5 linked regions of the Kluyveromyces lactis genome follow. The protein of the gene in region 5 purifies or fractionates together with the protein of the main gene of each other region. This does not show direct contact. Links are inferred from orthologs where the notes say so. Each region holds a gene or a part of one and is shown on either strand. Other genes may lie near its edges.

Region 1 (4,183 bases), on a different chromosome or scaffold from region 5:
ATACAACACTGCGTTGGAGGCTGCTAAACAAAGGGATAGCTCAAATCGGAAAAGGTTAAGTCTCATGGAGCCTCTTGAAATCGATGATGGTAATATCACCGGTAACAGCAGCGACGAGGACTCACACGCGATGGTATCTAACAGCAATAAAATTGGCATCAGAAACAATTCCTTGTCGTCCTCGAGCCATTTCTACCACCATAACCACCACAATCCGCAGCAACAACGTATTCACAACGATCTACATCGTCTCAGCTCATCAAATCTGATAAGGAAACGGAAATTTAGCGGTACTTCTTCACCCACAGATGATATTACCAACAAAACTTTGAACAAAATAAATGAAAACGTTGAGAAGTTAACCAAGATGTTGGAAAGTCACGACGCGCTACTCAAAAAAGTTGTTAGATACTTGGATATCCAGCATTCAAGGACCGATGATACGGAGAGTACTCAAAGTGACCAAAATGATGGTTCCAACAATGCTGCTGCTGCTGCTGCGGCCGCCGCTGCTGCCGTCTCGGCAGCAAGCAACGTCCTAAACCTAAACCCTTCCCTTTCAGTACCTGACATCGACCCCAACCATGATCCAAATGTGTACAGTAATGGTCACGTGAACCAGAGGTAAGACAAATAACAGAACAAGAAGTGGGAAATTACAATAACTGTTGAATTCGGAGTTCATCTACCCACACCCACACCCCCACCCCACATCCACCTCATCTCACAGGCTGGATAAACACTCAATGAATACGGAGATAATCTTCTTCTCAAAACTGAAAAAAAATCAAACACCGCTCACTGACCGTAACAACGGGTACTACTTCTAACTAAATACTGTATAAGGCCTAGAATTGACCCATAACGTTTCTAAATGTATTATAATGATAATCCCATCCTACAATCCCCCTTCTACTAGAACAAGGACCGTCCAAAATTTAGGTTTTGAATGACAATCAACATTCCGTCTTTCACAGCATCCTTGAACGAGCCACATCCCTGCCAACTACTCACCCCCGGCTGACTCTAAGAGTTTCCACGAAAACTAAGACCAAGACCAAAAATAAACCAAAAAAAAAAAAAAAAAAAATGACCTGGTCTTTGTAAGCCTTACCTGCATACAAGAAAAATGTTAACTAAAAATATTAAGCCTCGTTATTACTTACAAATCTCTCAACAGGCCGAACCCTATCAAAGTCTCAACGTAAATTCGTAGTCTCAACGGAAGAAGAAAAAAAAGGAAAATGCTCTCAATTGACTCTGTAATTCCTAACCTTTGTGACAGCTTTCTGTCACGCTTCGTATAAGATATCACTTCTGTTGAATGAAACTAAGAAAAATCCATCAGTTACTATGGAAAAATCAAGAACAAAAAGCGTAAAGATGACAGCTATACAGGAAAAGTAAGAGTAATGGTTTCGTCAATGACAACTATTAGGCTTAGATCAAAGCATTGGAAATGTGTCCTGATGTTGAGCTAATGTTGAATTGATGTGCCTGATACGATCAACCATGCAGTATAAAAGTATCCTGCTAATTCCCATTGTTTATGAGAAACATTTAGTTGCACGTTTTTCACTTTATATGCCCAATGTATATATATCATTAATAATTACTGATATGTGTATATACGTATTATTGTTAGTTTTTGTAAGCTTGTGTTTGATCTTTGTAATACAGTAGGAAAGATAAAAAAAAAAGACCAAAGAGGAAAAAAGAAAAAAGCTGATTAATCCTTTGTCCCCTTAAGTCATTCACATATAGATAACGATTTGGATAGTGCAAGACGTGAAGACAAGACAAATTAGTTAAAAGGAGAAGTTAGTTAGAAACTAAAGGCAATAGGATAAAAAGACGTTAGAAAGAGAGAGATCATTAATATTGTGGTAGCGATTTCTCGAGAAGTTTAAAAAACAAATCTGAAAATTACAAAAGGTTGAACTATTCTTAAGAGATTGTCAAAGATGAATATGAACAGACCACAGTTGAGTACGGAGTTAAGTGAGAATAAGTTTTTAGGATTGAAGAAACCAGATCAAAAAGGTATGAGACCACAAGATACCATTGCTGTTGTTACTGATAGTGAATCAGAAGATGACTTCAGGAAGAAGCCTTTTTTTAGGGTTCCCTCCCCTGGCAAGACTGCAAAGCGGACTAAGCGTGGGTCACAATCATCGGCTTATAGTACACCACCATCTCCTGGATCATTCCATCCTCCTCATCATTCTGGTAGACGCTTGTCAAGCGAGGAGATTATCAATCAAATGGAAAAAGAACAAGATGCGATGGTGATGAGACTGTTGAAAGAGATAGATTTGTTGAGAGAGGAGAACGTACGGTTGAGGCGGTCTTTGAACCAATTGTCAAGTAATCTGCATAATTCGGACGTTTCAATGAGTCTCGACCCAGTGTCGGCATCCAGACCGAATTCCTCGAGCTCTTCGTCCTTAAGTCAGTTACAATTGTCGTCACAACAACAGTCGACGTCAGGCTTACTGGGCGTTGGAATGGGTAACATAACAGGTACTTCTAGTGCGGCAAATTCAAGACGACCATCTTCGTCATCACAACTGCTGGATAACTTAACACCAGAATTGCAACGGAAACGTAACTCAGTTACAAAAAACGAAATTGATTTCATGGAAGGTTACTCCCCCACTTTGAGAACTGGCAGCACAATGTTAACTCCGAATTTATCTACAGGTATCGAATCTTTACCACGCAGAGCATCCTCTATTATGTGTGGTTCAAGAAGGAGACGATCATCTGGCAGACCTATGGAAGAGTCAGATACAATGTCGTTGTCTCCCTCTTCTGTTAGCAAGATACCGAAAAGAGCAGGCTCTCCTACAACTTCAGTTACCGTTGCAAGATGAAGCAAAATTATACTTATTATTTTCAATTCTATTAAGTGAGGTTACAGACCCTCCCGTTTCCCCTACTAGTTCGTAAGGATCACATATGAGAGGTCCAGGTAAGATGGGTAATTTAGCCTTTGCTTTTTTTTTTTTCATTACCCAATTTCAAGTTGAATTCTATTCCTAAATAGTGGATCCCCACGGTTTTCTCCCATCTCCCCTTATATATATTACCCACTATGGTGATAACCTTCGGTGGCTAGAACTCTCTATTTTACCGCTTATACACTACATAGATTTAAATTTACTCACCGTTCTTTTACCGAAGTAAGAACGATTCTACTCCCCTTCTGCATCCTGTAGGTGTGCTTGATAGAACGGAAAATTTAGAAAGGATATTTTTTAGTACGGTATAATAGTGAGTATGTTTCAGGATGATCTAAAACTTTGAAAATGTGATCAGTGACTGTTTCATCTGTGTGTGGTCAATCTCCTGAAGCTTATTCACGCTATTAGGCTGGTGACTTCTTTTTTTTTGACGTTCTTTGTAATTTCCTTTTCTGGTTATAATGACAGACTGAAATCAACAATATTTTTGGTAGACAAAGAGGCGATAGATCTGTATCCTGTGTTGGTTTGCAGAGGTCAAAGTAAAGCATAGAATTCCGAAGCAGCTTATTTCTGCGATAGAAGGCTGTCAGAACAACAAGCCAACTACAAACTATAAACAGGAAACAAATAAATAGATGTTTTCATGTAACTCGTGTTTCTTGTTGAAACGGGACGACTATTAATTTTGACCTAGATTCTGATCGTATGTATCGTGATTCATGTCAGTCTTATTGTATATAAAGTGACTGAATTCTACCGCTATCGAAAACTCTTTATGGAAACTAATCCTTATTCTGTTTCTACTTTAGCCAACTTGGTTTGATACTTATTAATTTCAGGTAGACCCTTCAGTATACAACAACTCACATCGCAATACCTTAAATTAAAATGCTATTCCCTGTTACATTCGCTTGGTTTTTGTTTGCAGGTGTTTTTGCCCAAGCACTTTCCACAAAAACTTTTACCAGTACTCTGACATCTACTTCACAAATTTGTCCAGATTGCACTACGATCACTAGTTACTCCACGATGCCAGAGCCGACAACAGAAGATGAGCCATCAACTATTACTTCAACGATCTGCCCTTCATGTACCAGGCCTTCTACAGAGGTTACAACAAAATCATCAACTGAGCCAGAAGAAACTACTACGGAACCAAATACTACCGAAAGTTTAACGGAGCCGGAGACAACAGACTGCTGGAGTACTGAATC
Region 2 (4,459 bases), on a different chromosome or scaffold from region 5:
AGAATTTTGTTGCTTCAAAAACACCAATTTGCTCTTGAACATCCAAGGGGCATGCTTGAAAAAGATCTTTTTCTGAAAGATACCTTCGATGTCCTTCTCTTTCATAATTTGTTCTGCGAAAGATCTGTCATTTTTGAAGATACCTTCAGTGTCTAACGAATCTTTCGTAAAAGTTACATCCAAATCATCATTTTGAGTCCATTGTTTCAATGCCTCTATCTCATATTGTAATCCTTCGTACGAGTTTATCAACGAATTGAGTGCTTCAATTCTGCTTACAAAATTAGAGGTTTTGGTTACAGGTTTCTCGAGATTCATATTGGGGAGATTTTTCCAATATCCAACCACTTTGTAATATTTATTCAATAGTATTTTGGCTTCTTCTATGACAACTTCAGGGTTTTCTTCTTTTTCATTTTTATAGTTCAAGATTTCTTCGAATACCTCATCAGCAGTAGTTTTAGAATATTCCAATGATTTACGTTGATCTTCGACGGTTCTACCATTTAACCAAGCCTTAAGTTCTAACCATATTAGATCATTATGATTCAGTAAAATTTCATCAGGCTTGCGTTTCGCAAGTTTTGTCTTCTCACTCTTAACAATATCACCATTCAAAACGCTCGAGAGCATAGTCTGCCACTCTAGCCTTTCTCTGACTAAATGATTATTCGAGAGTTGTTCCAAAGCAAGCTGCGTTTCAATATTTGAAAAGCTCTCAAGACTGTCCGTAGAGCCACCAGTTTTATTCAACAGGTTCAATGAATTTTCTATTAGAGGGTTATTCGGTTCCACTGAGCGTAACCATTCCATCCTTTCAAGTAAGATTTTATCATTCATTAATACAAGTTCATCATCATCGATGGAATGAAAGCCTTTATCTGTTGTCGTTGCGATATTATTTCCGAAAATTGCAGAGCCCAGTCCATTATTCAATTTGCTTAGGTCATTATCAACATCATCGTTTTCTCCATCCACTCTAAAATCATCATCATCTTCATTTCCAGAAGACGTTATTCCTCGCGTGTAATAATCATCTGCTTTTTTATTTTTCATCGAGCTTAGATAAAGCTGTTCATTGAGTACGTATTGCTTTTGCAAAGGTTTGAACGATTTCGTGGTACTGGTGGTGCTATTATTCAGTGATCTAATCGATGGAGAAGACAACGTTGGAGTTAAATTTACTGTTGTAGTGGAACCATTCTGTTGTGCTGGAAAATATTGGTCCGCTGATGTGGAAACTGACATTGAACTAGCTGTTTGAGAGTTCAACGAAGCGACATTAGGCGGTACGGGATAAACCGAGGTCGATGACGGAGAATCATTGGATTGGTTCAGCGCAAATAGTTTGGAGCTTGTGAGCGAATTAGACCTTGACCTTGTTGAAAGTGCACCGCTGAGTTTGGGCGATGTTATAGTTTTCAACTGAGCTGTAGTCGGAGTCTGCGTTCCAAAGGAACCAGACACACTTGGTTTCCTTGAAGATATTGCTGAGGAGCTTGAAGAAGAAGCAGGAAAGAGCTGCCCCTGTTGATGCTGTCCATTTGGCAGAGATGTCGGAAGCGTCTGTAGAACTGGCAGTTTTTTAGTACTCAGAGTAGAATCTGATGAAAACGTAGGCGAAGCTGCTGATAAATTTCCCTTTAAAGTTTCATTTGAAGTGTCACTTGAAATCGAAGCCAGCGAATTCAGATGTGAAGTACTTCTACATTTCGAATCAGTATTGGAATTCTTATTAGAAGCCATCTTAGTCGTATATCTTTGGAATTGCTCCCTGACATATGCCTCGTCTCTGCTATCGTTGTTTTGCGACATGGCTTTAAACGACGAACTGAGAGAGGCTCAATCTAAACCAAACGTGAAGGAAAACAGATAAAGCAAAAAACAGAGCGTTACTTTGTTGTACAGTACAAACGTAAAAGTGGCCCTTTAAAAAATCCACCAATTCTCTTTCTTCCTTAAGATTGTGTAATCTCTGAAAGACCGGGAAGAATGCCCTTATAGACAATGAATTGACAAGTAGCCCCGAAAATTACAAAGCAAATCCCCTTTATTTCGAGTTTGCCGCACACCAGTTGTGTTTCTTAGCAATTATAACCTATCTTTATAACGATCTCGTCGCTGTTCTAATCCGAATGGCTGGCACACTTTAGCTACTTTGCTCGGTACCTATGAACCTTTAATTTGGTTCTTGACATGATAATTTTTTTTTTTTTAATGTTATTGATTTTTACAAAGAAAAGTTGAAATCTTTCCAGCCGTAAAGTTTGCTAAACAAAGAATATGGGGTGAACGACTCATCGCTAGGTGGTAAGGTTTATCTGTTGGGCATCTTAAGGTATTCTAGCTAGCGTTGGGATCCATGCATTAAGGGAGGATAAAATATCCCATTAGTGAGCTGTCAAAAAATTTCAATCCGTACTGAGGATATTACATATCATATTTATGGAACTCGATTGGTGTTTGGAACAGCTATATGAGGGGAAACTACTTCCTGCTGAGACGATCAGGGCGTTGTGTTTCAAATTAAAGGAATTGCTAGTGAGAGAATCTAATGTTGTTCATATCAGTACGCCTGTGACTGTTGTTGGTGACATTCACGGTCAATTCCATGATCTTTTAGAGATATTCCATATTGGTGGACCTCTGCCGTCCACAAATTACGTGTTTTTGGGTGATTATGTCGACAGAGGGTTGTACAGTGTGGAGACAATTACTTTGCTGATAACGTTAAAGCTTAGATATCCAAGCCGTATTCATCTAATTCGTGGTAATCATGAATCACGTCAGATCACCCAGAGTTATGGTTTTTATACGGAATGTTTGAACAAATTTGGCGAGGGAAGTCAAGTATGGCAGTATTTCACGGATCTATTCGATTATTTGATTCTTGCATGTATCATTGATGATACAATTTTCTGCGTTCATGGTGGACTTTCACCCAATATTCAATCCATTGATCAAATACGGATTATCGATAGGATCAGAGAAATCCCACATGATGGCGCCATGGCAGATTTGGTCTGGTCAGACCCTGAAGACGACAGAAACGATATCACTTCTTCACAATTCAAAGTCTCACCGAGAGGTGCTGGTTACACTTTCGGTAAAGCTATAGTGGACAAATTTTTTAGCATCAATGGTGTCACAAAGATGCTCAGAGCTCATCAACTATGTAACGAGGGATATCAGGATTATTTTGGAGGGAAAGTCACCACTGTTTGGTCCGCTCCCAATTACTGTTATCGTTGTGGGAATAAAGCATCTATTTTAGAATTATACTCACCAACAGACTTTCACTTTAACGTGTTCGATGAAGCTCCAGAAAATAAACTACTTACAGATCCAATGCTTAATGATAAAACTTTACATTCCTTCTTCGAAGAAGATGACGATGCACACATGGGGCAATATGACGTATTCTCCGATGAGCACCAAGCAAAATATGCTCTGAAAAGACAAGTTGACTATTTTTTATGAAGCAAATGTAACTGTATGCTTATCTCTAACTCTTTTTTCCCTTTCGCTAATGGTATAGTCCCATCTCATATTCAAATATTGAGTATAATATACAAGCTAATTTTTATAGATAAATCATATATGTTTTTACAAACTTACACATAATACAACTCCAAATTAGTTCCGTCGTGAACTTCATAATCTTCTAAAGTTATGTGATCTTTCAATACGCTACCACCTTTTTGTAGCACAATCTTGGATGCTGACGCAGTCCCCAATTGTACACTCAATACCTTCTTAAAATCACCAACAGTATCTTCGCTTAAACATTTTACATTGACTTTTTTTCCAAGACGATCGTTTACTAGTACTTCAATCATATTAAATTTGTCTATTCAAACTCAATGGTATGAAACACGGAATAAACGTGTTTAAAGAGCTTCTGTTCTTCAATCATTTAGTGCTCAGCATGTTTATAATACATTCTTTTCTATATAATTTCGTAATAGTAGAAATAAAAAAGTAAGAACTCTCTGCTCATCGACACATTTATATTACTTCTGCCACACAAGGAAGTAAACATTACCCATTGAATAGTCTTGAGCTGACAAGCAACACGATTGTCCAAAAACGTTGTTCACTAAATAGAGTACTAGTATTGGTCGTTCTTTGTGCAGACGGATGACTTTTTCTGTTTTGTTTGTGGACTCTTATGACTCGTTCACATATAATGTTGTTGAGCTGATAAAGGAGCAGGGGCAAGACATCGAGGTAATCACAATTCATAATGACACTTTTCAAAGTTACAATGAGTTGAAACCATTTTTGAGATTATTTGATGCGATTGTCATTGGTCCTGGTCCTGGTAATCCAGTGAACGGACCCACAGATATCGGTATAATTGCTTCTTTGTTTAACGATTCCGATGTTATTCCAATTCTCGGAATATGTCTTGGTTTCCAAGTCATGTGCCATGCGAATGGTGCCAGTGTTGAACAAT
Region 3 (4,435 bases), about 300 kb from region 5:
AGGGAAAAAGTTGCTTTAAAACAGGAAAACGACATCAGGCAATGTTTTGCCTCAGTAAACAAAGATACAATTAATCGACAAAAGCTGGGCAGGTTCATTTTTTGTTGAACTTGAACGTCTAATATCATTTACTTCTGAGAATAGACGTAAATATCAGCTTATCTGTTTTACTTTGAGAAGGTTCGCTGCTAGGTAATTAAAGTTACTTCGAGGCTTGGAACAAGATGGGTAAGGAACAAATCAGAAAGAGACAAACTAAAAAGGTACGCAAGGGTTCACAACCCGTGGCAAATGGTAAATCTTCTGTAGTAGGGGTCTCCAAAGATGGGAAACCAGAATTTTGTGCTATTGATACGCCCATAGAAAGGAGACTTCAAACTCTCAGCGTAGCATGGTATGTCGAATGTATTCCGTTAATGATCATCATAATGTTGTTTGTTTGGGTTAACCCGTTGATGTGGTCGTTTGTAATACCATACACCATTTATTATTTCATAGACCGGACTGCCTCCAATGGGAACGCTGTGAAGAGACACTCCAAGTGGTTCCGATCTCTAAAGGTCTGGTTTTATTTCCGTGATTACTTCCCTATAAGTATGCACAAAAGCACTGAACTCGAGCCAACATTTACAAGTATTGATTCCACAGAGCTGGAAAATGATGCGAGTGAGCCAGGCTACCTGGATAGCTCACAGCCCGTTTTACCAGATAAATGGTGGAATCCTTTCAGAGAAAAGGATGAAACTGTTAGACCAACAGGACCGAGGTATATTTTTGGCTACCATCCACATGGTATAGCAGCATTCGGAGCGTTTGGAGCATTCGCTACCGAGGCATGTAATTGGAGTAAAGTTTTCCCAGGCATTCCAGTGTGTTTGCTTACTTTGGTAAATCAATTTCAAATACCAGTGTACCGTGATTATTTATTGGCCTTAGGCATAACATCGGTCGCTAGAAAAAATGCTATGAAAGTACTTGAGAAAAATTATTCAATAGCCATCGTAATTGGAGGTGCCAGTGAATCCCTTCTTACTAACCTTGGTTCATCTGATATCATTTTAAGCAAGCGGAAAGGTTTTGTGAAGTTGGCTTTGCAAACTGGGAATGTGAGTCTTGTACCTGTGTATGGATTTGGTGAAACTGATACTTACAAGATTCTGAAGCTTAAAAATGACTCTATAATAGGCAGGATACAGATATGGCTTAAAGAGAACTACAGCTTCACTGTCCCTCTATTTTTCGCTCGTGGTGTATTCAATTATGATTTTGGTTTACTACCGTTTAGACATCCAGTCAATGTTGTTGTTGGAAACCCTATTCATATTAAAGAAAAGATAGATCATCCAACAATTGAGGAGATTGATCATTACCATTCCTTATACATTGAAGAATTGAAACGTCTTTACGATGATAACAAGGCAAAATTTAACTATTCAGAAAAAACTTTAAATATAGTGGAATGAAACTCTTTACCAAAAAACTAAATAAAATATGATACTGCCTCGACGGTGAGGCAGCATTCAGTATTGTCTCTATATATCTGCATTACCACCAGACACTACAATTAAAAGTAAAATAATCCAAACCTTGCTAAAACGAAAAAACCTCCGCTTTTGTGAGTTGTACTCAGTCTCACCGTTTCCTTACTCTGTCACTAACAAATTCTCACGTAACTCATCAACAGTGACATCCTTCTTTAGTCGATCAATATATATCCTTTCCCACTTATTTATATTCCGTGCAGGTTGTTTACCTACCGTAACAAATCGTTTCGGGACTATAAGAAACCGAACATATTTTAGAACCTTTTTAGTAAGAAAAAGATTAAAGGATGGCTCTTAGCATCACAGAAGTAGAGCTGTACACGACGCAATACGATTGCAACCAGCATTTCCAGCTAAATCATGGCTATTAAGAGATTAATTAACGAGCATGATATGGAGTTATGGAATAACTCCAAGACGTTTGAAGACGTGATTGGATTTATTAATACCTTGGCATTGAGTGTACGGGGCAGAGAGAACAATGATTACACTCAACCAATTAGTGATAACGTCCAAAGAGTCTCTAACTTGTTATCAAAAGTAACAGAAATCATTGGGAAGCATGAGGTTATCAAAGATGCTAATACCTCGAGATTCGGTAAGATCGAATTTAGGGATTTTTATGATGACATTTCGGAGCACTCTAATGAGCTAATATCAAAGATATTTGAAGGCATTGAAAAACCTGACACAGGGAAGTTGGATGACATTTGTACGTATTTCATTAACTCTTGGGGGGATAGGTCAAGGATTGATTATGGTTCCGGTCATGAATTGAACTTCATATGTTTCTTGTACTGCTTGACAGAATCAAAGGTATTTGATCTGGAGAACGACAGCTCGAATATTGTATTGATGCTTTTCATTAAATATTTGGGGATAATGAGATCACTTGAGCTCAAATACTGGTTGGAGCCTGCTGGTTCTCATGGTGTTTGGGGTCTAGATGACTATCACTTTTTACCTTTTCTTTTCGGTGCATTCCAACTATCCACTCATAAGCATTTGAAACCAAAATCAATTCACAATCCAGAAGTCGTAGAAATGTTCCAAGACAGGTATCTATATTTCGGCTGCATTGCATTCATTAATAAAGTTAAAACCACAGCTAGTTTGAGATGGCATTCACCTATGTTGGATGATATAAGCGGGGTGAAACGGTGGTCAAAAGTTGCTGAAGGCATGGTAAAAATGTATAAGGCAGAGGTTCTACAAAAATTACCAATCATGCAGCATTTCTATTTCGGATATTTCTTGAAATGTCCCGAGGGCGTTAGTGAACCATCAGCACGCGCACAAGATCATCATGAAGATGATTCATGCTGTACTGATGGATCGCATGGTCATAGTACTTGGGCGGATTGTTGCGGTATTGCAGTCCCTAGTGCGATTGCGGCATCTCAAATGGCTAATAAAGACGTAAGACTATTTCCTTTTGATTGAATAATATTACATATGATGCGTATACCGAAACTTAACTACCCTTATATATACCAACATAACGTTAACAAACAATAACATAGACCGCAATTCACGATGCATTATTTACCATGCGAAACGTAATTGTGAAGCGGTAAATACTGGGGGTGTCCAGATTAATTTTTGAGGATCTATAGATCTCCTCTTATTATTCTTTAGCTTTTTGTACCTTTTCATCACATCGCTATTCAAATACAGTACATGCTGACCTCGATAGAACCTTAATATTTCTAAGGCTTTTGCAGTATGAAGAATATCAGTGGTAGTCATAGAGGAAATTGAACTAACTTCATCGATGGTGATTTCCTGGCCGTGCTCTACCAAAAGCTTAATCAAGGTGTCGGCCCAGTATGCTCTGTAAGATAACAAACCCAAATCCGATAACGGCTTTTCTGGTGATCCGACTTTACCCTCTTTCTTAGATAACTCATAAGAAAACTCGATTAATAGTCTACCGTAACCCATTCTTTGATATTGAGGTAGTGTTAAAATACATGCCACATTATAAGCATCAGCTGATTCCTTTTCCTTTGAGAAATAACCGACAATATGATGGCCTAGTTCATCACGCCTAGTCATACAGTAAAATAAAAATGGATCAACATCATAGTACAACGTTTTATGATCCAAGAAAAGTTTAGACAAAAGACATAGATTACGGCACCATGTCCTCTGTTTCCGACCATCAATTTCAAAGAAGGAAACATAGTCATCTCTATATATCTCGTTACCTGGAGGATGTCGTAGAGTACATTTCTTTCTGTATCGTTCATATTGTTTCTTTGATCCGAAATATTGTAGGGAAAAATCATCGATATATACCACATCCTCATCAGTCAACTCTATTGGATAAGGTGAAAAGTACCATGGCTCTATTTCATATTTGCCCATAATCACCTTGTTCAAATTTCTAACTCTAGCCACCTCATTCTGATTCTGTGTCATTGACCCCGATGTACGAAGCTTCTTTATTTCATCTTCTCTGGAAATATCTTCATTAGGAATCCCTTGTACATTCAAATTATCCAAATCCATCACATCCCCACCATCCGGAGTAGCACTGGCTGCTTGTGGTGTAGCACTTTTATTCTGTTGCTGCTTCTTTTTCTTCGAGTCTTTCTTCTCTTCAAGCTCTTTAGGCCTAGGAAAAATGACTTCCTTGTCTATCTGTAACCTATCAGCAGTGATCCATTCATCTAGACGTTTATTGAAGTCTTCATAATGCACGTAGAACTTAGGTGGATCTCTTCTGCTGTTAATGGATAGAATTTCAGCAAGACGATCTTGACCATCTTTTAGTACCCATGACTTGCATCCAACGAAAATCTCATCGATGCTGTCAACCTTCTGGGGAATCCCAGGTTCCTTTTCTTCGCCGTGACTCATGTATTAGCGAGCTCGCCCAAAATATT
Region 4 (4,768 bases), about 110 kb from region 5:
TCATATCTAACTGAAGAATCTGCTCACGGGAGTTCTTCGACGTCATCTCCGTTAGCATCAAAATTCAAGTCTCCACTATCACCACCATCAGTAAACGGCACTCTGGGTTCAATTTCAAAATCACGGAAAGTATCAAGAAATAGTTTCGGTTCTACAACGGAGGATGATGAGAGACTCTCCGCATTATCAAGGGTAAACACCGTCAGAAAGCTCAGACGACGTAGTGGGCGGAAATCTTCTTCCAACTCGAACGGTATTAGATACAAGTTGGATGTCTTACTCTGTGAACCTATTCCAATTCATAGATACAGAGTAGCAGAAGACTTGGAAAGCATTGGGTGCTCTGTTGTTTCCGCTGGAAATGGTGAAGAGTTGGTTCGTCGTGCCACAACAGGCGTAAAGTTTGACCTAATCATCACAGCAATGAAACTTCCAAAATTAGGCGCAATCGATATAGCAAAACTTATAAGACATACCAATAGTGTCAATTGCACGACACCAATAGTAGCCTTAACAGTCTATTATCACGACGCCAAAGAATCTAAGGTGTTTGATGATGTCTTGGAAAAACCTGTAAGCGTGGAACAGTTACGGAAACTTGTGTCCAAATATGCGCTACTTAAGTCACAAAACGAAGAAGACACGCTTCTGAGTGACACAGAATCTTGAACAGCGAATAGACTTCGAACTCACGAATTGTCCTAAATATATATATATATATATATATATATTTATACTAGTCAATGCATACATACATATACACACTCTCTTTTATTGTGAAAGCTATGGATATAGGAACCTTATTGATAATTATAATGAATTTGACGTAGTCCTTCTGCAGCATTCAAAAAAAATAAAAAATAAAATAAAGGGAAAACTCAGATTTAAGGAAAGAATGCACAGAACCACCCCTTAAAGAATGATATACTTACCGAAGGTGTCAGGAAGATACACACACACACACCAGAGAGCTATCAGCACAATCGAGTCCTAAGCGGTTGTAGCAGCAAGTGTGTTACATACAGGAATAATTGATACAAGCTATTATAATTGCCGCTGTTTCTTTGCTTCTTTTTTAATCATCAAGTTCCCTTATTTGACGCTCAGATTCACTACACTTTTGGTCATATAACGTTTAATAAGAGAGCAGCAACAAATTACTAAAAGCAAATATACATCATTCATTTGATAGTCTTTTCTTCACTACATTTGCAAAGCTATAGTTTCCCTTTTAAAACAAACAAGAAGTGTCTGTTTTCAGTTAATGATTCTTACTTTTTATTGGAACTTAGAACACATTATTGATTGCTTCTCTACTGTAAGACAGCTGGATTGATAGTTACAGTGAGAAATTTGCCAATTGGACACACGTATTCCTTTTTATCGTTTTGTTTAACGCTGAAAATCCTTCGCAAAGCTTCCCCAGAGTACCCCCAATTAATCGTACTCTAGATATTCCCAAGTTTAAAATAGTCAAGTATCCTCTGGTAAACCCTTTCCATTTACTAGATTTACGTATTGCAGAGGCAAAAAAAGAAGAATTCTTCGAATCGTTCTAAGCGTCTTTTAGCCTCTCTTTTTTAAATCTACAAAATAACAGCATTATTATTTGCATCGCTATTTGTTAGAGCCAGCTCAACTGTTACATTTCTGACGCTCGTAAAGTGCTTTACTGTACCCCGTCAACCGTTCTCACGTGAAGTGCCTGCAGTTTTCTACCCACAAATCAATCGATTTTTCCTTCTTTTATCAAGAAAATCGTGAAATCGTCGAATTCTGATTTTTTTCTTCCAAAGAAAAGTTTTAGGAAATCGGAAACATTAAAGTTTTCTAGTTAAAAAAGTGTAAAGAAGGAAAAAGGGTTCTTCCTTGAAGTTAAAACACCGTTGACACGGTACCTTACAATCGTCTTTGAGAATTCAAGTGTTCCCAAGCACAGTAATTGTTGGTGAGCTCGTCACAATACACGTTAATAGCAAGTTTTAAGTGCGAATTTTGGGTTTTACTTCTATTCCCCTTTCTCAAAATCAGATTTCCCTACAGTTGAAAGAAAACTGAAAAGAAAAAGATCTGATTGCGTATACTTATCTGTTACTGTAGTCTGGTGGCCAATTCCAGTGTACATCTTTTGTTTCGACTTGGTTTAAACCTTTTGTTTTATTTCTGAAAAGCAGTTTAGCTGGGATCAGTTGTTTTATCTGTATTGGACGCGTGTGTTTTATTAGATTCCTCGATAGGAAGCGTTGGTAAGAGATATGTCACAGCACGGGTTCGATTTCAAGTTCAGTCAATGCTTTGGTGATAAAGCAGATATCGTGGTTACAGAGGCAGACATTATAACGGCGTCGGAGTTCGATCATACAGGTGATTATCTTGCAACCGGTGATAGAGGTGGACGTGTAGTTTTATTTGAAAGGAACAATACAAAGCATTGCGAATACAAGTTTCTAACGGAATTTCAGTCACACGATGCAGAATTCGATTATTTGAAATCTTTAGAGATTGAGGAGAAGATTAATCAGATCAAGTGGTGTCGGCCAACGAACCAATCGCATTTCTTGTTAAGTACAAACGATAAGACGATTAAGTTGTGGAAGATATATGAGAAAAATATCAAATTGGTTAGTGATAACAATCTATCAGAGGGAAATAAAGACTACCACAGACGCTCTGCTGGGAACGGTAGCGCAAGAGCTGTACTGTCTTTGCAGACTTTGAAGTTACCCAAGCTGTCCTTACATGATAGAATTATAGCTGCTGCACCAAAGAAGATTTATAGTAATGCTCACACCTATCACATCAATTCGATATCGTTGAATTCAGATCAGGAAACGTTCATCAGTTCAGATGATTTGAGAATCAACTTATGGAATTTAGATATACCGGACGAATCATTCAATATTGTTGATATTAAACCAGCCAACATGGAGGAACTAACAGAAGTCATTACAAGTGCAGAATTCCATCCTCAACAGTGTAATGCTTTCATGTATTCTTCATCGAAGGGGACCATCAAATTATGCGACATGAGACAGAATGCTCTTTGTGATTACCGAGCTAAGGTGTTCGAAGAATACCTTGACCCAATAAGTCATAATTTTTTCACAGAAATCACTTCATCAATATCTGACGTCAAATTCAGTCCTGATGGTCGTTATATTGCATCTCGTGATTATTTAACCGTTAAGATATGGGATATTAACATGGATAATAAGCCATTGAAAACGATAAATATCCATGAACAACTAGAAGAAAGATTAAATGATACTTATGAAAATGATGCTATATTCGATAAATTCGAAGTTGCTTTCAGTGGTGATAGTTCAAGTGTAATGACAGGATCATACAACAATAACTTTATGATTTATCCCAACGTAGTAAAAACGGGCGATTATCAAGCACCTACTGGAATGGATGAAATTGTATTACAAGCAGATAAGACTGCATTTAAATCAAAGAGGTTGAGTAGTTTGCAACAGCAAAGTGCGAGAAATAAAGAATGGGGTGATGAAATTGATTTCAAAAAATCCATTCTGCATTTCTCTTGGCATCCAAGAGAAAATAGTGTTGCCATTGCAGCCACTAATAATTTGTTCATCTTCTCGGCATTGTAATTTTACTCCTCATCAAGTTGTAATCAATAGTGTTACAGTTTGCCATTTTACATACGTATATCCATATGTACATATAATCTCTAATTTTCTCGTCGAATTAAATAACATATCGAAGGTAAACTAATAGCTCGGGGCATAGCTTCAAGTGTGCTCCGGATATATTCTGGATATATGTTGTATATACGCTGTACCAGCGTATCACTTTTCGTTTTCCCCTTATTTTTTGTTCGGTTAACAATGGGGAACAATGTAAAGTTAAAGTTTTTGGAACGTAAAGTCAGTTTGTATTCATCATTCGTGAAAAAAAAGTAAGTATTGAGTTACTAAAGACGTTTGCCATAACGCTGAGCATATCGAAGTTGATGTACTGCTTGTCACAGATTCAGTACAATAGATATTGATAATGAAGAAACTTATATCTACTTATGATCATTGACACAGTGTGACGTGTTTTATTCTATTTTTCTAGGACTGAATTTACAATAAAGATAAAAAGTGTGTTTATTCTTCTTGAGTTAAATAATAATTATTTGTATGGTGGAAACTCCACTATAAAGTTTATCCATATGTTTGTTGTATTTTGAAGTATAATGCCAGATTAAACGGATGTTTGAATTCTTTTGAAGATAATTTGAGGATATTTGATAAAAGGTGTTTTAAAAGATAAAAAAACCCACAGGCAGGGGCTATCTTGATATTTCATTATGAATGGCCAAAGCCCAACAAGTTGAGATCATTTATCGAACTGTGTTTAATCGTGAGAGACGTGTCTGTTAATGACTGGGTTCCAGAACAAAGTCTTGTCACCGTCACCCCAGAAGAAAGGCTTTTGTCTTAAGTTTTGGAATTCGTAGTCTCTTGGCCATTCTTCATCTGGAACGTGCTTCAAATGTTCACGGTGCTCAGCGTGTTCAGCTTCAACGAAGTAGGTGTTGACAGCGGTCAGAGCAATAGCTGGAGCAGCAACAAATATGGAGATCTTAACCCACAAGTTAGAGGTTTGCTTAGCGTGCTCAGTACTGTGCTTCATGTAGTCCTTGTAAGCTTGGGCAGCAGCCAAATCTGGCTTACCGAAAGCTGGTTCCAAAGCATACTTTGGTAGAGTAGAAGCTCTTCTAATGGCTTGTTTGAACATTTTTGATTATATCTAGGGT
Region 5 (5,184 bases):
CTCATGGGGATTAATAATGTAATCTTCACTAATGAGAAATAGGTCTTGGATCGGTTCATCTGTGCTTGCTATCTCTCGACGATCTTCGTTCGGAGATGACATTGTAGCCCCTTATTGCCAAGATGATATCTAATACTATAAGGGGAACCTCTAAAAACATCCAAGACACGTAAGGTTACGTGTCAAAGGCCCATTATCAGGTTCATCTTAACTCATTTATTGATCAAGGTTCATAATGCAGCTTCTATAATCTTCTTCCATTTCATGAAGTCAAACAATATCACGTGCTAAAATCACATATGCCAATAATTAAGGAAGGCTATCCCAGAGACACCATAAGATACCAGAATATATTCAAATTAGTCTGCAACAGGTGGTGACGAACCTGCGGCGTTATGCAATCGTAACTCTATTGAATTTATGTCAGTTCATAGTTTTTCTATTCCAAGGGCATAACCATCAGCATAAATTATTTTGATAGAAATAGCTTTACCTGAACCTTCTTGAGCCAAGTAAAGGCAAGAGTGAAGATAAGGGGTTCACAGATAATGAGAGGTTAGTGTCCAATAACCGGATAGAATGATGAGCCAGAAAAGTTTTCAAGTGGTCGACACGACGAGGTTGGAACAGCTTCTTGATGATGATCGGTTCAGGTTGAATTTACAACCTGTTGATATAGAGAAAGAGCATGCGCAAGAATGCTTAGATCTCTATGTAAAAGGTGACCTTAAGGAATGTCTCGAACTGATGTATGAATATGGGCTGTTGAACAGCAACAAGATGCAAACGTCCTTAAAATCATGGCAATTAATGATGGACTGCGTGAGTCAAATGAATAATGTTGGGGTAATCGGAACGAGTCTAGATAAGCGATTGAAGGAATGGTTCACCAATGAGGAATTACTTCTAAGACTAATCAAGATGAAGCCGTTGAGTGATCAATTGATTATCACGTACCAATTCTTCTATTCTTCCTTGAAATTTTGGAAGAGAAACGTTAAACAAAACTATGAACACATCGATGAATTATCCATTTCATGCAAGGAACTACTCTTACAAACTTCAAGAAGATGCCAAACAGTAACTGAGATTCAAAACCTAAGTCAAATACTAGATTTCTTGATATTTGACGTTCAAATAGAAACGTTACAAAAGAAGGCCAGCATCACGATGTACACTCGATTTTGTCAGCTAGACGACAAATTGCAGAGCAAGCTCAAGGCGAACAAGGTGAAGCACGCTCAATCCGTGGATATAGACACCTATTTCCGCGAAAAACTACAACCTAAACCAAAGCCGAAGCCAAAATCAAAGAGTAGATCGCTGAAGCCAAAAAATCAAGTCCAGATCGGTGCAGCAACTACATCAACGTCGACAACAGCCGTAATAGCACCTGCATCTACGCAAAGGATGAATTTGTCCTATATACGACGCTTGACAACCTATCTACCTAGATGGTTACCTGTCTGGGCTCAATCGGTACAATGGTCACCGCAATTACTGGCATCGCTTATTATCTTCGCAATATCAATGGTACTACCCCTTGCAAGAAGATCAAAAACGTTCAATATCATATGGATGCACAGCAAAGATAAAGCATCCACCATAGTAAGACTTTTCATCCATGCAGTGAACACTTTAGCATCGCTATGAGATGCCTACGCACATATTCATGTATCTATATATTTATCCAAAGTTACCCTACACAACGAACATCTTCATTACCCTACCGAGACCATCAATCACGTGACTTTGGGTTCTCTCCCCCCTTCTTGTCCCCTTCCTCCCTCATAACGTCAGTGGAAGGAAGGAAAACTTGATGAAACTGAGATTTGGATTGTTTGGTGAGAAATCGATGAAAGTCGAAATTTGAAAATAATTAAAAATATACATTTGGGTTTATCAAGAACAAAACATTAGGGTTATACTATCTTTGTATGTTTTCACAATTGGAGAGGACACAAGAGGGCAGAGAAAAAGGTTTGGGCTTCGATTTTACCAGAAGATCAGGAATTTAGACAGTGTACTTATATTTAGAGGAACGAGAACGGTGTGGTAAGCCAAATATCTAACAAATTTCTTTCTCAGTTTCAAGAATAAATTTAATTTCCGCAATTATTACCCAACTTTAGACAGGCTCGGGGAACTTTTTAGCAGTGTAAGAAATAACATGGGCGATAATAGCGACAGTAAAGTGAATCTCTATCCATTAGCTTTGCTAATGGATGAATTGAAGCACGATGATATTTCTAATAGGGTTGAAGCAATGAAAAAACTGGACACCATTGCTTTAGCCTTGGGCGTTCAAAGGACGCGTGATGAATTGATTCCATTTCTAACCGAAGTGGCTCAGGATGATGAAGATGAAGTGTTTGCAGTCTTGGCTGAACAATTAGGTAATTTTGTGCCGTTTGTTGGAGGTAGAAAATATGCCACTCTGCTATTGCCTGCTTTGGAGATTCTTGCATCAACCGAAGAGACGTTGGTGAGAGAAAAAGCAGTTGATTCATTAAATATGGTAGCCGAACAGTTGACTGAGGAACAATTGCTGCATGATTTTGTGCCTTTGATTGAAAATCTTGCCACCAATGAATGGTTTTCTTCCAAAGTATCAGCTTGTGGGTTGTTCAAAGCAGTTTTCGTTAGAATTCAGGATGATAAGTTTAGAAAAGATTTGTTATCGTTGTTCTTGCAATTGATACAGGATGATACTCCAATGGTTAGAAGAGCTGCGGGCAGAAACTTACCTACCCTTGTTGACCAATTGACTGAGCATCCAGAATTGTCAACAGATGACGAATGGGACTATATCTCTAGTATGTTCCAAAGATTGGTCAATGATTCTCAGGATTCGGTGAAATTTTTGGCTGTTGATGTCTTGATCTCAATCTTGAAATTTTTCAATAAGAAAAAGGACTTCACACATACGAAGGATCTATTACAATCTTCCATTCAATTAATCGGGGACGAAGCATGGAGAGTTAGGTACATGGCTGCTGATAGATTCGAGGAACTTGCTTCTCAGTTCGTTTCGAATCCACAATATGTCAGCGAATTGTTAGAACCATTCTTAGCTTTGTGTCAAGATAACGAAAGTGATGTCAGGAAAGCCATCGCAAAACAAATTCCTGGCTACGCAAAATTGCTTAATGACCCATCTGTTATCTTAAATAGAATTATACCTGCTGCTCAGAATCTAAGCATCGATGAAACAGAATGTGTAAGGGCTTCTTTGGCTTTGGAGATTACAAACTTGGCGCCTTTGCTACCAAAGCAAGACTCAATGGATAGTTTAGTTCCAATACTTCTACATATGTTGAAAGATGAATTCCCAGATGTCCGTTTGAATATCATTGCCAAATTGAAAATCGTCAATGAATCTGTCGGAATCGAATTTCTATCTGAGAATTTGCTACCCGCCATTACAGAGCTTGCTAAGGACCCCAATTGGAGAGTAAGATTGGCCATTATTGAATATATTCCTCTTCTCGCAGAACAGTTGGGGATGGAATTCTTTGATTCTAAACTAAGTGATTTGTGTCTATCGTGGTTGTGGGACGGTGTTTACTCTATCAGAAGTGCTGCTATCACAAATCTAAGTAAACTAACTGAAATCTTTGGTTCAGATTGGGCACAAGAAGAAATCATTTCTCGTTTACTAAAGTCGGACACTCAACTGTTAGAAAACTTCAACTATAGAATCACTCTACTATTTGCATTAACTGGGTTGGTCCCCGTTGTCTCCACAGACGTTGTTGTCGAAAAGATTCTACCATTCGTAAATCACTTATCCACAGATAACGTTCCAAACATTAGATTTAACGTTGCAAAGTTCTACGCTGTCATCGTAGAAGCGTTAACGAAAAATACTAATAAGAATCACATTGAACTAATCAATAATACCATTATTCCAACACTAGAAAAACTATGTCAAGATCCTGATGTCGACGTAAGGTTTTTCTCTGCACAGAGTTTAGAAAAATGTAAATCCTTCTTGTCCTAAGCGTAGCAGAATATTATAGGGCAACATCTATATAAACATGAATAATTATCACATTTATCTACACTTTACTATGGCATGTTTTAAGTGGCGGCATAGTACTAGAATTAGTACTAGAATTAGTACTGGATTTGTTACGCGCGATATCTAATTATGTACTCAATAAATCAGTTATCCTCGGTTTTCACTTCAGTATTCGATTCCGTAGAGGTAGTTTCCGCACTTCTATCCACATCATCAATCTCATTCTGCGAGAGTTCAGCTGCTCTCTCTTTTCTAAGGTAATTTATCCATTCCGTGTAATCACCCCTGTTGCTGTTCTTCACCGTATCTTCAAGCTCCAAACCGACTAGTTTCAGTAATTTTTTGTCAACCCCTGGGCAAATATCGTTCACAAGACATAATTCACACCTTTTGCTCCTTGGCATGCAGAGTACCTGTCCAAAGCCCACCAATACTGGATTTATTTCATACCACAAAGATCTCGGTAGCCATGACTCTAACTGTTTTCTAGTATGTTCAGGTGTCTTACAGACTTTAGGATCAACCCACTTCCACATCTTTGCAAGCCTATCAACATGAACATCAACCCCAATACCATCGATCTTGGCCCACGATTTTTGTAAAGCTAAATATCCCATTTTCGGTCCTACTCCCGGTAATGACATGAAGCCTTCTATTGTGGTGGGTACATCACCGTCAAATTGATCTCGGAGCATGACAGCAGCCTTTTTAATGTAGGAAGCTTTCCTTGTGTGGAACCCAACGCTGTAAATTTCTTTGTCTAGAATTTTCTCCTCAATCTTGAGTAACGAGCCCAAGGTGATACCTTCCGGATCACCTAACTCCTCCATACAATATTCCATTATATTATGCATAGCCTTGGCATTTACCTCATCTTTGGTCTGTGAAGATAACATCAAAGAAACTAAAAGTTGTAATCTGTAGTTCTTAGGTTGCATATTTGACTTTGATATTCCAAATACACCGTTTATGGTAATTGGCAGCATTGCACATCCAACATTGTCTACTGGAGTCTTTATCATCGATCTCATAAACCTTACTTTCGAGTATATCGACACAAAATTCGAAGGCATATTAGGGTTGTCCTCGATCTGAAGCTTTCTATTAAGGGAGATGTCATCATTAGTGAATTTTTGCACATATTTAAAGTACTCATCTGT

Evidence for each region.
Region 1: the proteins of TPD3 (region 5) and RTS3 purify together in Saccharomyces cerevisiae (affinity purification with mass spectrometry; 4 studies listed by BioGRID). This does not show direct contact. The link is inferred for Kluyveromyces lactis from reciprocal best matches to the Saccharomyces cerevisiae genes TPD3 and RTS3.
Region 2: the proteins of TPD3 (region 5) and PPG1 purify together in Saccharomyces cerevisiae (affinity purification with mass spectrometry; 5 studies listed by BioGRID, with this or other methods). This does not show direct contact. The link is inferred for Kluyveromyces lactis from reciprocal best matches to the Saccharomyces cerevisiae genes TPD3 and PPG1.
Region 3: the proteins of TPD3 (region 5) and RRD2 purify together in Saccharomyces cerevisiae (affinity purification with western blotting; 4 studies listed by BioGRID, with this or other methods). This does not show direct contact. The link is inferred for Kluyveromyces lactis from reciprocal best matches to the Saccharomyces cerevisiae genes TPD3 and RRD2.
Region 4: the proteins of TPD3 (region 5) and CDC55 purify together in Saccharomyces cerevisiae (affinity purification with western blotting; 14 studies listed by BioGRID, with this or other methods). This does not show direct contact. The link is inferred for Kluyveromyces lactis from reciprocal best matches to the Saccharomyces cerevisiae genes TPD3 and CDC55.

Annotation. Positions count from the first base shown.
Region 1 is NC_006039.1:994,311-998,493, reverse strand, and holds RTS3 (Rts3p), read left to right. Parts: upstream 1-1,964; coding exon 1,965-2,876; downstream 2,877-4,183. Other genes in the region: KLLA0_C11561g (uncharacterized protein), read left to right, coding at 1-628; KLLA0_C11517g (gag-pol fusion protein), read left to right, coding at 3,858-4,183. UniProt on the Saccharomyces cerevisiae protein: May be a component of a protein phosphatase type 2A (PP2A) complex. Negatively regulates SIT4 phosphatase, a modulators of caffeine sensitivity.
Region 2 is NC_006039.1:741,910-746,368, reverse strand, and holds PPG1 (putative serine/threonine-protein kinase PPG1), read left to right. Parts: upstream 1-2,445; coding exon 2,446-3,480; downstream 3,481-4,459. Other genes in the region: mitogen-activated protein kinase kinase kinase SSK2, read right to left, coding at 1-1,815; ubiquitin-like protein HUB1, read right to left, coding at 3,615-3,839; ABZ1 (4-amino-4-deoxychorismate synthase), read left to right, coding at 4,141-4,459. UniProt on the Saccharomyces cerevisiae protein: Involved in glycogen accumulation.
Region 3 is NC_006042.1:1,029,935-1,034,369, forward strand, and holds RRD2 (peptidylprolyl isomerase RRD2), read left to right. Parts: upstream 1-1,904; coding exon 1,905-2,987; downstream 2,988-4,435. Other genes in the region: DGA1 (diacylglycerol O-acyltransferase), read left to right, coding at 225-1,463; NuA4 histone acetyltransferase complex catalytic subunit ESA1, read right to left, coding at 3,090-4,409. UniProt on the Saccharomyces cerevisiae protein: PPIases accelerate the folding of proteins. It catalyzes the cis-trans isomerization of proline imidic peptide bonds in oligopeptides.
Region 4 is NC_006042.1:840,336-845,103, forward strand, and holds CDC55 (protein phosphatase 2A regulatory subunit CDC55), read left to right. Parts: upstream 1-2,255; coding exon 2,256-3,614; downstream 3,615-4,768. Other genes in the region: COX13 (cytochrome c oxidase subunit VIa), read right to left, coding at 4,366-4,749.
Region 5 is NC_006042.1:725,662-730,845, forward strand, and holds TPD3 (protein phosphatase 2A structural subunit TPD3), read left to right. Parts: upstream 1-2,170; coding exon 2,171-4,003; downstream 4,004-5,184. Other genes in the region: KLLA0_F07645g (uncharacterized protein), read right to left, coding at 1-102; PEX15 (Pex15p), read left to right, coding at 580-1,653; KLLA0_F07711g (endonuclease III domain-containing protein), read right to left, coding at 4,168-5,184. UniProt on the Saccharomyces cerevisiae protein: Phosphatase 2A affects a variety of biological processes in the cell such as transcription, cell cycle progression and cellular morphogenesis, and provides an initial identification of critical substrates for this phosphatase.